2 linked regions of the Arabidopsis thaliana genome follow. The protein of the gene in region 2 interacts with the protein of the main gene of each other region in a biochemical or structural test. Each region holds a gene or a part of one and is shown on either strand. Other genes may lie near its edges.

The links.
Region 1: the proteins of SERPIN1 (region 2) and RD21A form a complex in vitro, tested with the Arabidopsis thaliana proteins (one study listed by BioGRID).

The regions. Positions count from the first base shown.
Region 1 is NC_003070.9:17,282,249-17,287,658, reverse strand, and holds RD21A (Granulin repeat cysteine protease family protein), read left to right. Parts: upstream 1-1,909; 5' UTR 1,910-2,049; coding exon 2,050-2,524; intron 2,525-3,065; coding exon 3,066-3,301; intron 3,302-3,399; coding exon 3,400-3,540; intron 3,541-3,887; coding exon 3,888-4,337; intron 4,338-4,433; coding exon 4,434-4,520; 3' UTR 4,521-4,910; downstream 4,911-5,410.
Region 2 is NC_003070.9:17,555,536-17,560,832, forward strand, and holds SERPIN1 (Serine protease inhibitor (SERPIN) family protein), read left to right. Parts: upstream 1-1,555; 5' UTR 1,556-1,588; coding exon 1,589-1,626; intron 1,627-2,601; exon of another isoform or gene 2,602-2,692; coding exon 2,693-3,125; intron 3,126-3,740; coding exon 3,741-4,526; 3' UTR 4,527-4,790; downstream 4,791-5,297. UniProt on the Arabidopsis thaliana protein: Inhibits metacaspase-9 (MC9) cysteine protease. Functions through cleavage of its reactive center loop and covalent binding to MC9. Involved in the control of elicitor-stimulated programmed cell death (PCD).

The sequences.
Region 1 (5,410 bases), 270 kb from region 2:
TTCCATCCAAAACTTTCTGTCCATGTAATCGTATTTCAACATGTCATGAAATTTTACCAATAACTAATGCGCAAATTTCACCGTCAGAAATTTTATCCCATCTCGCAATTCAACTTTAGATTGGAGAATTGAATTCGCTGGTTCTTCAGCATTGGTATCATATGATGAGTATATTCTACTTGATTGCAAAGTGTTTACCTTTTTGCGTCAATAGATTTTGATTGTTTTGTTTCTCATGGTGACTTGGAGCATGGAGGTGGGTAGGTGCGGTTCAAAGCATTAAAAAAAGAAAATTTACATGTAGTTTTGATATTCTTTTGTCTCGCACCGTATCGTCTCCATTCAAAGTATGTGTCTATGATTATTGAGTGTACATCTTATTATGATTCATTATAGAATGTAGTTCCCCTTAGGCTAGGAGCGTTAGTTGTGTCTCAATGTTTTTGGCCATATGTACACTAGCGTGTAATAAAGTTCTAAAATACTAATTAATGATTCGTTATTCAGTCATATTATACGTTTCACATTAATACTTTTTATTGAATGTATAAATTCCAATATCGTCATCAGTGTATCTCTACACGCAAAACTATTGTTGAGTTTTTTCTTTTCCAAAACTCTAAATTACAATATTATTTTTTTTATTTTGATAAGTATAATATTCGATGTCACTTGAATATAATAATTTTTATTAATTCTCTGACGAAAAAAAGAGAGCAAGTGTTCTATTGTCACAAGCTAACTCTTGAAAGCATTATATTAAAGAAGTTTGAGTAAAATGAATAAATTATAGAAAATATTTTGAGTCTTTTAATTTCGGAAGGAATCATAATAATAGAGACAACAATCTAATTTCATAATGGTAACTTGTAAGACTTTAGATTCTATATTATCAAAAACTCATAAGAATCTCGAGTTACATGTAACAATCCTATCCACGCGTCTTTTACAATACGTGAGAACACGCGCTCCTATTTGTGTGGACATTTTATTTTTGGCTTGCCAATTAGAGATCAGTGACGTCTCATCTCTTCCTACCCATATTGTCTAACCAATAATTGACCATCACATATTCACATTTATAGATTTCATCTTTACACTATTGTTTTTTTTTTCACTTATCAAAATATCTCAACCGACCCTGAAATTAATTAGGATTTTTAAATCGGATTTTGGCTCAAGTTTTTGTTTTTGAATATTTAAGAAAATAAATACAATTAAGTATAAGTTTAGAGATGATTTGTTCATTTATTTGAAGTTTTTGATTTTTTTTTTCTTATTAAAATGACAAAAAGAATGATTTGAGTTCTTTTCTTTTTTGGCTCAAGATTTATTTTGGCCCACTTTTCTTTTCAATATTATTAAGAAAACTTGACTCATAAATTTTTGTTGGGAAAAAGAGGAAATGAGAAAAGGGATAATAATAACAAACAAAAAAATGATTTGATGTTGGTTTGGGTTCCCTCTTTTTAGTTCAAATATAACATGAGTAATAGTGGTAAATGTACATTATTTGAAAAATTGTAAATAATGCACTATTTACTATTTATTATCTGATTTGCTACTCTTTTTTTTTTCAGTTTCAATTATAGTTCAACATGGAGTTATTTTTTTGTCAAACCCCATATGATATCTTATCTACAAAGAAGCCCATAAATCACTTATCTTCATTTATTTTAGATCCACTTATTTTTAATTCTTTTTTTCTGTTTTGATTCCGTTTCAACTTGTTGGATACATATAACTTTTATTGTTTCTCTATCGTATCAAAAAAATAATTTGGATTTTTCCTATCTTTTTTTTCTTCTAACATACGGATTTTTTCCTTTCCGAAATTGAACTTTCTAATAAAAAAATTCGGAACAAGTCACCATTATTTTAGAAAATTAAAAAGAGTGACGAACGAAAACATTAAAATAGAAAACTAACAATTATTACACTTATCTCATTTGGCTTTTATATATACCCCACCACCATCTCTTGTCCATCATACAATCGTCTTCTTCATCATTTTCTCTTCTTCTTCTCCAAGAAAACACTGAAGAAGAAATGGGGTTCCTTAAGCCAACCATGGCGATTCTTTTTCTAGCGATGGTCGCCGTTTCATCAGCCGTGGACATGTCAATCATCTCCTACGACGAGAAACATGGCGTCTCCACCACCGGTGGCCGTAGCGAAGCCGAGGTTATGAGTATCTACGAGGCATGGTTGGTGAAACACGGCAAGGCTCAGAGCCAGAACTCTCTTGTTGAGAAAGATCGACGGTTCGAGATCTTTAAAGACAATCTTCGTTTCGTCGATGAACATAACGAGAAGAATCTTAGTTATAGATTGGGTTTGACTCGTTTTGCGGATCTTACTAACGATGAGTATAGATCCAAGTATCTTGGAGCTAAGATGGAGAAGAAAGGTGAGAGAAGGACTAGCCTACGGTACGAGGCTCGTGTCGGTGATGAGCTACCGGAGTCTATTGACTGGAGGAAGAAAGGAGCCGTGGCTGAGGTCAAAGATCAGGGTGGTTGCGGTAAGTTTCTACTGGATCTAACCATCATTTTTAGTTACTCTTATCGTAGTATATCATTTTTTGATTCAATCATAAAGTTTTGAAACTTTTGGAAAATGACATATTTGCCCCTTCCGGAAATTATGGGTGTTAGTTAGCAAGACAAAACTCAATAAATGAAATTAATAGTACTAATAATTTAACAAATCATCATGTGTATAGGTCATTAGTCATTACTTAATTAGAGACGTTGACTTATAGTCTAGTTATTTTTGCTTGTGAGCTATAGTTGTTTTGTCCTAAGCATAAAAATAAGGTTTTACTTGGTTACAGGCTCACAGCATTTCAAATGTGTACATTTTGGTTATGAATTTCAGTTATAAGGTTTATGAATGAATCTGATTAACTATAACATTAAATTTCGTAGTCATGATTATGTTAGAAATTGCACATTATTTTAGTCCTCCTTACAGAACATTGATATTAGAATATATGTGTTCCTGTTTGATGTTAATGTTTTGTTGTAAGCTGATGTTGTTGACACTTATGATTGGTAATGAAGGGAGTTGTTGGGCGTTTTCAACCATTGGAGCAGTGGAGGGAATAAACCAGATCGTAACCGGAGACCTAATAACCTTGTCTGAACAAGAGTTGGTCGATTGTGACACTTCATACAACGAAGGTTGTAACGGAGGTCTTATGGACTATGCTTTTGAGTTCATTATCAAGAATGGTGGAATCGATACAGACAAAGATTATCCTTACAAGGGTGTTGATGGAACTTGTGACCAGATCAGGGTAAGTACATTGGTTTTTGTTTTGACAAGGAATTACATTTGATTATTAACACAACTTATGATTCTTATATCAATCCTCTTGTGGGTTTCTTGTTACAGAAAAACGCTAAAGTTGTCACTATCGATTCATATGAGGATGTTCCAACTTACAGCGAGGAATCGTTGAAGAAAGCAGTTGCTCATCAACCCATTAGCATTGCCATTGAGGCTGGTGGTCGTGCGTTCCAGCTCTATGATTCGGTACAAATTTAACCATCTTCTCATAGTTCTTAGGTGTTTGTTAGTTTTTATGCATATAAATCCATTTCACTTCTGTTGTTAATTGTATACGCCAATTACAAACGAAAGGAGAAACTCTGTTTGGTGTTTGCGTTTACACTTTACAAAAGAATTCTATGAAAAATTGAAAAAAATGTTGCTAGTGTTTGAAAATGTAAAGTTTTATTCATATATAAACGCATGAAACAATTGCATCTAATAGGTGGTTGAATATTAAGTAGCTTTTCACTATTTTTGGTCTCAAAATGTTCATATTGTTGTTAGTCACCTTTGTCTCTAATGTGTTGATGTGATCTTTTCATCTGAAGGGTATATTTGATGGAAGTTGTGGAACACAACTAGACCACGGAGTTGTGGCGGTTGGATACGGAACTGAGAACGGCAAAGATTACTGGATTGTGAGAAACTCATGGGGTAAAAGCTGGGGAGAGAGTGGATACCTAAGGATGGCGCGTAACATTGCGTCTTCATCAGGAAAATGTGGAATCGCGATTGAACCTTCATACCCGATAAAGAATGGCGAAAACCCGCCAAACCCGGGACCTTCACCTCCATCTCCCATCAAGCCTCCAACCCAATGTGACAGTTACTACACTTGTCCTGAGAGCAACACTTGTTGTTGTCTGTTTGAGTATGGCAAGTATTGCTTTGCTTGGGGATGTTGCCCACTAGAAGCAGCCACTTGCTGTGATGACAACTATAGTTGCTGCCCTCACGAGTACCCGGTTTGTGACCTTGATCAAGGAACCTGTTTATTGGTAAGTTCTAATTCTTCCACTTTCAGTAACAAATATCAAGATGGTAAATAATGCTTGAATCTCACCTGACCTTGTTTGGGAATGTATCATTTGCAGAGCAAGAACAGTCCATTTAGTGTTAAGGCCTTAAAGCGTAAACCCGCAACGCCATTCTGGTCACAAGGCAGAAAGAACATTGCCTAAACATTGCTTCTTCAAGAGGACTCTGGCTCATGAGAGAAGAGATCTCTCTGAAGGGATTTATCAGATGCTTTTTAATGTTGTTGTTTATGCCATAACTAGATACATAAAAAATGCAGCTGTTGGGTTTCGTGTATATAAAAAAAGGACCCTATGTTTCATTCAGTTTCATAGTTGGGTTTCATTGATACAGTACATTTATTGTTAATTCAAGAAAATTGAATATTTATGGCTATGTTATGGTCCTATGGAAGTTTTACACCTTTGCTTCTATGAGGCCTAACGAAATCATCTTTGCTTTAACACAATTCTTTTTCAACTTCTTTTGCATTAATTTAGCTCTGCTAGTAGGAAGCCTAACGAAGTCATCCCGCCTAAAATTTTGATTTTCTTTTGCACTTTAACAAATCAATTTTTAAATTTTATGTTTAATTTTGAAATTTCTTTCAATTGACTAAAATGTGTGATAAATTTTAAAACTAGTGATGGCTACATATAATGGATCAATTATGGGATCGACACGTTAAAGTCTGTGCTTTTGTGGAGATAGGAACATCTCACAGTATTCACAAATTCATGTACTTTTACCTATTGTTGTTTTACAGTTTTACCCTTTACAACTTTCCAAAAATATTTTCAGTTTTTTTTTTCTTTTTCTTGTACCACTGTTGAAGCATCGTCTACAACCTATCCCATTAATAATTTTAAATCAAACGCAATAAGCATCGTCTACAACCTATCCCATTAATAATTTTAAATCAAACGCAATAGGAGAGATACACGTCTCTGATTAATATGCATTCGTTTCTTGCATTGGTTTTCTCTCCGTAATCAGCTCAAATTCATCGGAAAGCCGGTGAATTTTGTCGCCGTCTCTTTCTTACACGACCTCC
Region 2 (5,297 bases):
TTATATTTGAAATAATTGAACTAAATATAACTATTTGTAAAATATATAAATTATAAAGACTAAAATGAAATATAAGAAAGATTTTAAGGGTATTTGAGGTTGTACTATTCACACCCTAAAAAAATAAAGGGTTGAGGGCTTGTTAGAGTTCAAAAAGCCCTCAAATTTAAGGATTTGAGGTGTTGTTGAAGGGTTGCACACGCTTCTCTTCCTTCATTCTCAGTAGGTTACCGTCCTTGGAACCAATGCCTAAGATTTGCCCTTGCGGTCTGGCCTTAGTCTAAAGACTTATAAACTGTTTGATTTCATTTTGAATTTACTAAACACAATCGAACTAAACAAATAAAACGTACTATTTTTTAAAAATATTTTAGTTACATCTTTATATTTAAAATAATTTAATCATTTTATGTAAGTATAATAAAACAAACAAAAAAATGTATAATATAACAAAATTATTCTTTATTGTACTCACTTAAAAACGTTTAACTAAAATAGAAATGATTCAGAAACGAAAACAAAAATCAAACCAAATGCAAAAGTAAACCGTATTTTCTTTCGATTTTAGTGTCCCGTATATAAAACCAATAAAATTAGAAACCTGAACCAAACCGTAAACTTGATTGCCCCTCAATATAAGGACAAGGATTAGTCGAGTTATGTAAACATAAAAGATTTGTGTCAGAAAAACTACAGTATAAATTCTATAAATTAATACTCTATAAATTAATAACTTTTATAAATTAATAAATTCTTTCGGTCCCGAGTTAGGACCAGTGTAAAATGTGACACAAATCGATAAATTAATAAAATAATAATTTTTTTGAAAGTCCTATGTAAATATATGGTCTCATCAATATCATAAATTAATAATTGTATAAATATATATATAATTGTATATATATATATATATATATATATATTATAGAAAAAAATTCTTTATAATATTTTTTTGCTTAAATTCATATTTGTTCTTTGTTTGACTATAGTTTTCATATTTTACTGTATCAAAATTTTTGGTGTTATTTTCTAAACATTATTATTATGTTTTACTTGTAACTGATTTTAGAAAGATATTTTCTACAAAGAAAGAAATCTTATAGAAATTTTTTAAAAATTTACCAAATTAGGAAAATCTCTTTATATATTTATTATTAATTTATCGATAAATTAATACCTCTCTAAATTAATAAAATTTTGCAGTCCCAACATTATTAATTTATAGAGGTTTTATTTAGTTAGTGTCATAATATCAAATGCTAAAAATATATATAGCATCTTGAGAAGAAAACCATCTTATTTCTTAATTAGAAAAGACCATTTCTAAATTATTATTTTAGTTTAGTCTCTATTTAGTTTTTGTTATCACAGACTTGAGAATTAAAATTCATAAAAAGATGTGTAGATGGTCTGGTCGAAGACATGGTTTATAATAATCGATTGCTTCCACCGAGAGATAAACACAACAAGTCATCGATAAGCAAAGCACATATTCACACTTTTTTTTAATTCATATACATTCAAGTTCATTATAGGCTTACACATCATTTCAAAAGATTTTGTCAATTCATCTTTTTTCCTCTTGCCGATGTGCCACCTTCTTCGCTTGGCGCTTCGACGTGTGCGGTGAGCGTATTTTCTTACACATATTATATTACACTAAAATGTCAATAATCGCGAATGTTTGCGGCAGTTGAGATGAACAAATTAGATTAGTTTTAATTTATAATTCACAAACTATATTTATAAATTATAATGAGAGTACAATAAAAATAATTGAAATTATCGTAACTAAATATAAACGGTTTTTACATATAAGTAAAGTTGGTTTACGGCAGTTTATAATTCACACAAAAAATAAAGCGAACTAAATTGCTAACTAATTTGTCCATTCTAACAATATCACCAGTCAAACTTAATATTTGATAGGTTTTGACAATCTAATAAAAACCGTGAATAAAAAAGAGTAATCTAAATTTATTTTATATTAAGACTGCAAGTTTTGTGGATTAAGTCAGCATATTTTTTCTATATTTTTATAACGATTTATGAAGAAAATTGAAAATAACATTTTTGAAAAATCAATGATAAACATTTTATATCAGTTTTACTATGTAATGAAGGTTTAGTTTTTTTAAAAAAACATCTGTATCAGTTCTTTTTCAAAGGCGAAATTTAAAAACAAAAAATATTTGGGAAAACTAAATTTAAAGGATATCTACAAAACAAAATTGTCCATCTATTTATTTTTCTTGTAAATTAGTCAAATGTAGGTTTTTCAAAAAAAAATTAAGTCTTATTTACCCTTATTTTATTTTATAATTAAAAAAAATTATAATTTTCTAATTTATTTATACAAAAAAAATAGTAATTTTAAGTAAAATTTTAAGAATCTAAATCCTCTAAATGTATAAGAGTTTTTCAAAACCCTATTTTTTGTCTCTCTTTCTTCTTTACTCGGTTTAAAAAAAAAACATTCAGCTCTATAAAAAAAATTCATAACGAAATAGTCATAACGAAATTTTTTCATATGCCACCAGATAGTCAAATACCATTGACCGACGTGCTAGAAGAAAAAAAATAAAAAAATTTGACCGACATGTCATTTATAATCTTTGTATTTAATTATTATTATATAATTTTAAGATATTTCTCTAAAATAAATATATCAATCGTCTTCTCCTAAACCCAGCAAATTCGTTTACCAGTCATCACCACCACAACCTCCGGCGAAAATGGACGTGCGTGAATCAATCTCACTGCAAAACCAAGTCTCCATGAATCTCGCAAAACACGTAATCACCACCGTCTCTCAAAACTCCAACGTCATCTTCTCACCGGCTTCAATCAACGTCGTACTCAGTATAATCGCCGCTGGATCCGCCGGCGCTACCAAAGATCAGATCCTCTCGTTTCTCAAATTCTCTTCCACTGATCAACTTAATTCATTCTCTTCCGAAATCGTCTCCGCTGTTCTCGCTGACGGTAGTGCTAACGGTGGTCCTAAGCTCTCGGTGGCTAATGGCGCCTGGATCGATAAGTCTCTCTCCTTTAAACCTTCCTTTAAACAGCTCTTGGAAGATTCGTATAAAGCTGCTTCGAATCAAGCTGATTTTCAATCGAAGGTGAGTTTTCTGATTTGATTACTTGGTTCTGTGATCTAGACTTAGTTCTTCAGGTACAGAGGAACTTTGTGTGGATTGTAATAGAATCACTCTTAGGCCAAAATGTGGAATTTTTGTTTCTGAATTTTACACTTGAGGATCTGTATATGATCGTATTAGGGTGGCTTGTGATTTGATTCTACAGAAATCTTGCTCTCGAATTCGTTTTATTGATTGCAATATGATTACTACATTTTGATTCTGCTTCCTAGGGTGTTGTAAATACTAACTTTGTGTGGATTTTAGTAGACACAATCAAAGGCCAAAATGTGGATTTGTTGTTTTCATTATGTTACCCTGAGGATCTGTATAGGTTCATTGTTTCTTATGGATCTTTTGGTTTTGTGTGAAATTTGAGTGGCTTGTGATGTGATTACTACGTTTTGATTCTGTGGCTGTGTCTAGGGTTTCTTATGCATCTTGGTTTGTGTGGAATTTTGAGTGGCTTGTGATTCGATGTACTGATAGGGTTAAGGTCGATTATTCTGTTTTGAAGGCTGTGGAAATGAGGTTTTTAAAAGGTTTGTGATTTGATGTACTGATTGGGTTTATGTTTGATAATTTTTGTTTTTGAAGGCTGTGGAGGTGATTGCTGAAGTGAATTCATGGGCTGAAAAGGAGACAAATGGTCTCATCACTGAGGTTCTTCCAGAAGGATCAGCTGATAGTATGACCAAACTGATATTTGCAAATGCATTGTACTTCAAGGGAACATGGAACGAGAAATTCGATGAGTCGTTAACACAAGAAGGCGAGTTTCACCTTCTTGACGGTAACAAAGTGACTGCACCATTCATGACCAGCAAGAAGAAACAATACGTAAGTGCTTACGATGGTTTCAAAGTTTTGGGACTTCCTTACTTACAAGGACAGGATAAGCGACAATTCTCCATGTACTTTTATCTTCCCGATGCAAACAACGGACTGTCTGATCTTCTGGACAAAATAGTTTCCACTCCTGGGTTCTTAGACAACCACATCCCACGCAGACAAGTTAAAGTCCGCGAATTCAAGATTCCAAAGTTTAAATTCTCTTTCGGGTTCGATGCTTCAAATGTTTTAAAAGGATTGGGACTGACTTCGCCTTTCAGCGGTGAAGAAGGTTTAACTGAGATGGTTGAATCTCCTGAGATGGGGAAGAATCTATGCGTATCGAACATTTTCCATAAAGCGTGTATCGAAGTGAATGAAGAAGGAACAGAAGCTGCAGCTGCATCAGCTGGAGTTATAAAGCTAAGAGGATTGCTTATGGAGGAAGATGAAATAGATTTTGTTGCAGACCATCCGTTTCTATTGGTGGTCACAGAGAACATAACAGGAGTGGTTCTGTTCATTGGCCAAGTTGTTGATCCGTTGCATTAATCTAAAGCTAATGTGGAAGTTTTTGGTTTTACTTAAAATAAATGAGTCATTGGTTTTGAGGACTCATCTTTATGTAACATCCTTTGTCTTGACTCTTTGATGTGTGTAAGAATAATAGTGATACATAACAGCTTTTCTTCTGTATTTGGATCACATGTACTGAACTGATAGACATACATACATGTGATGCATCTTAATGATTCACTGTATTGGGTCATTCATGGTTACATACACGTAAACCTCTGTCTACTAATTGAATTTTACTCGACCAATTCAGATTTATCTTACACTCTACTAACTTATTGGCAGCAAAAAAATAAATAAATGAAAAGAATCCATTAAATCCGTAGACATTAGCTTTTTTTTTCAACTCAACATTATTCTATTTGCCATTTCCTAAATATATTCATAACTTTAAAATGATTATAATAAATGAAAAAAGGTATTTTGGAATACCTTGATTGGTGTCACATATATGTATGTGATATATATACGCAGACATATATATATTTATGTGAACAAGACAGAGGTTTCGATTTGCATGCATTGCTATTCGATCCCTGATGGATAACCACTGAACCATGAATGACCAACCACCAAACCGGATGAATAGCTGCAGTCATCGCTGTTTCATCTGATATGTATCCACATAAAACGGATAACTTATATTATTTGTAACAAATATAGACATATTGATCCTATAAAGTTTTAAATTAAAAAAATACTTGCATAAATATGGACTTTTCTGCTAATCAGAGTTCTCTTATACTT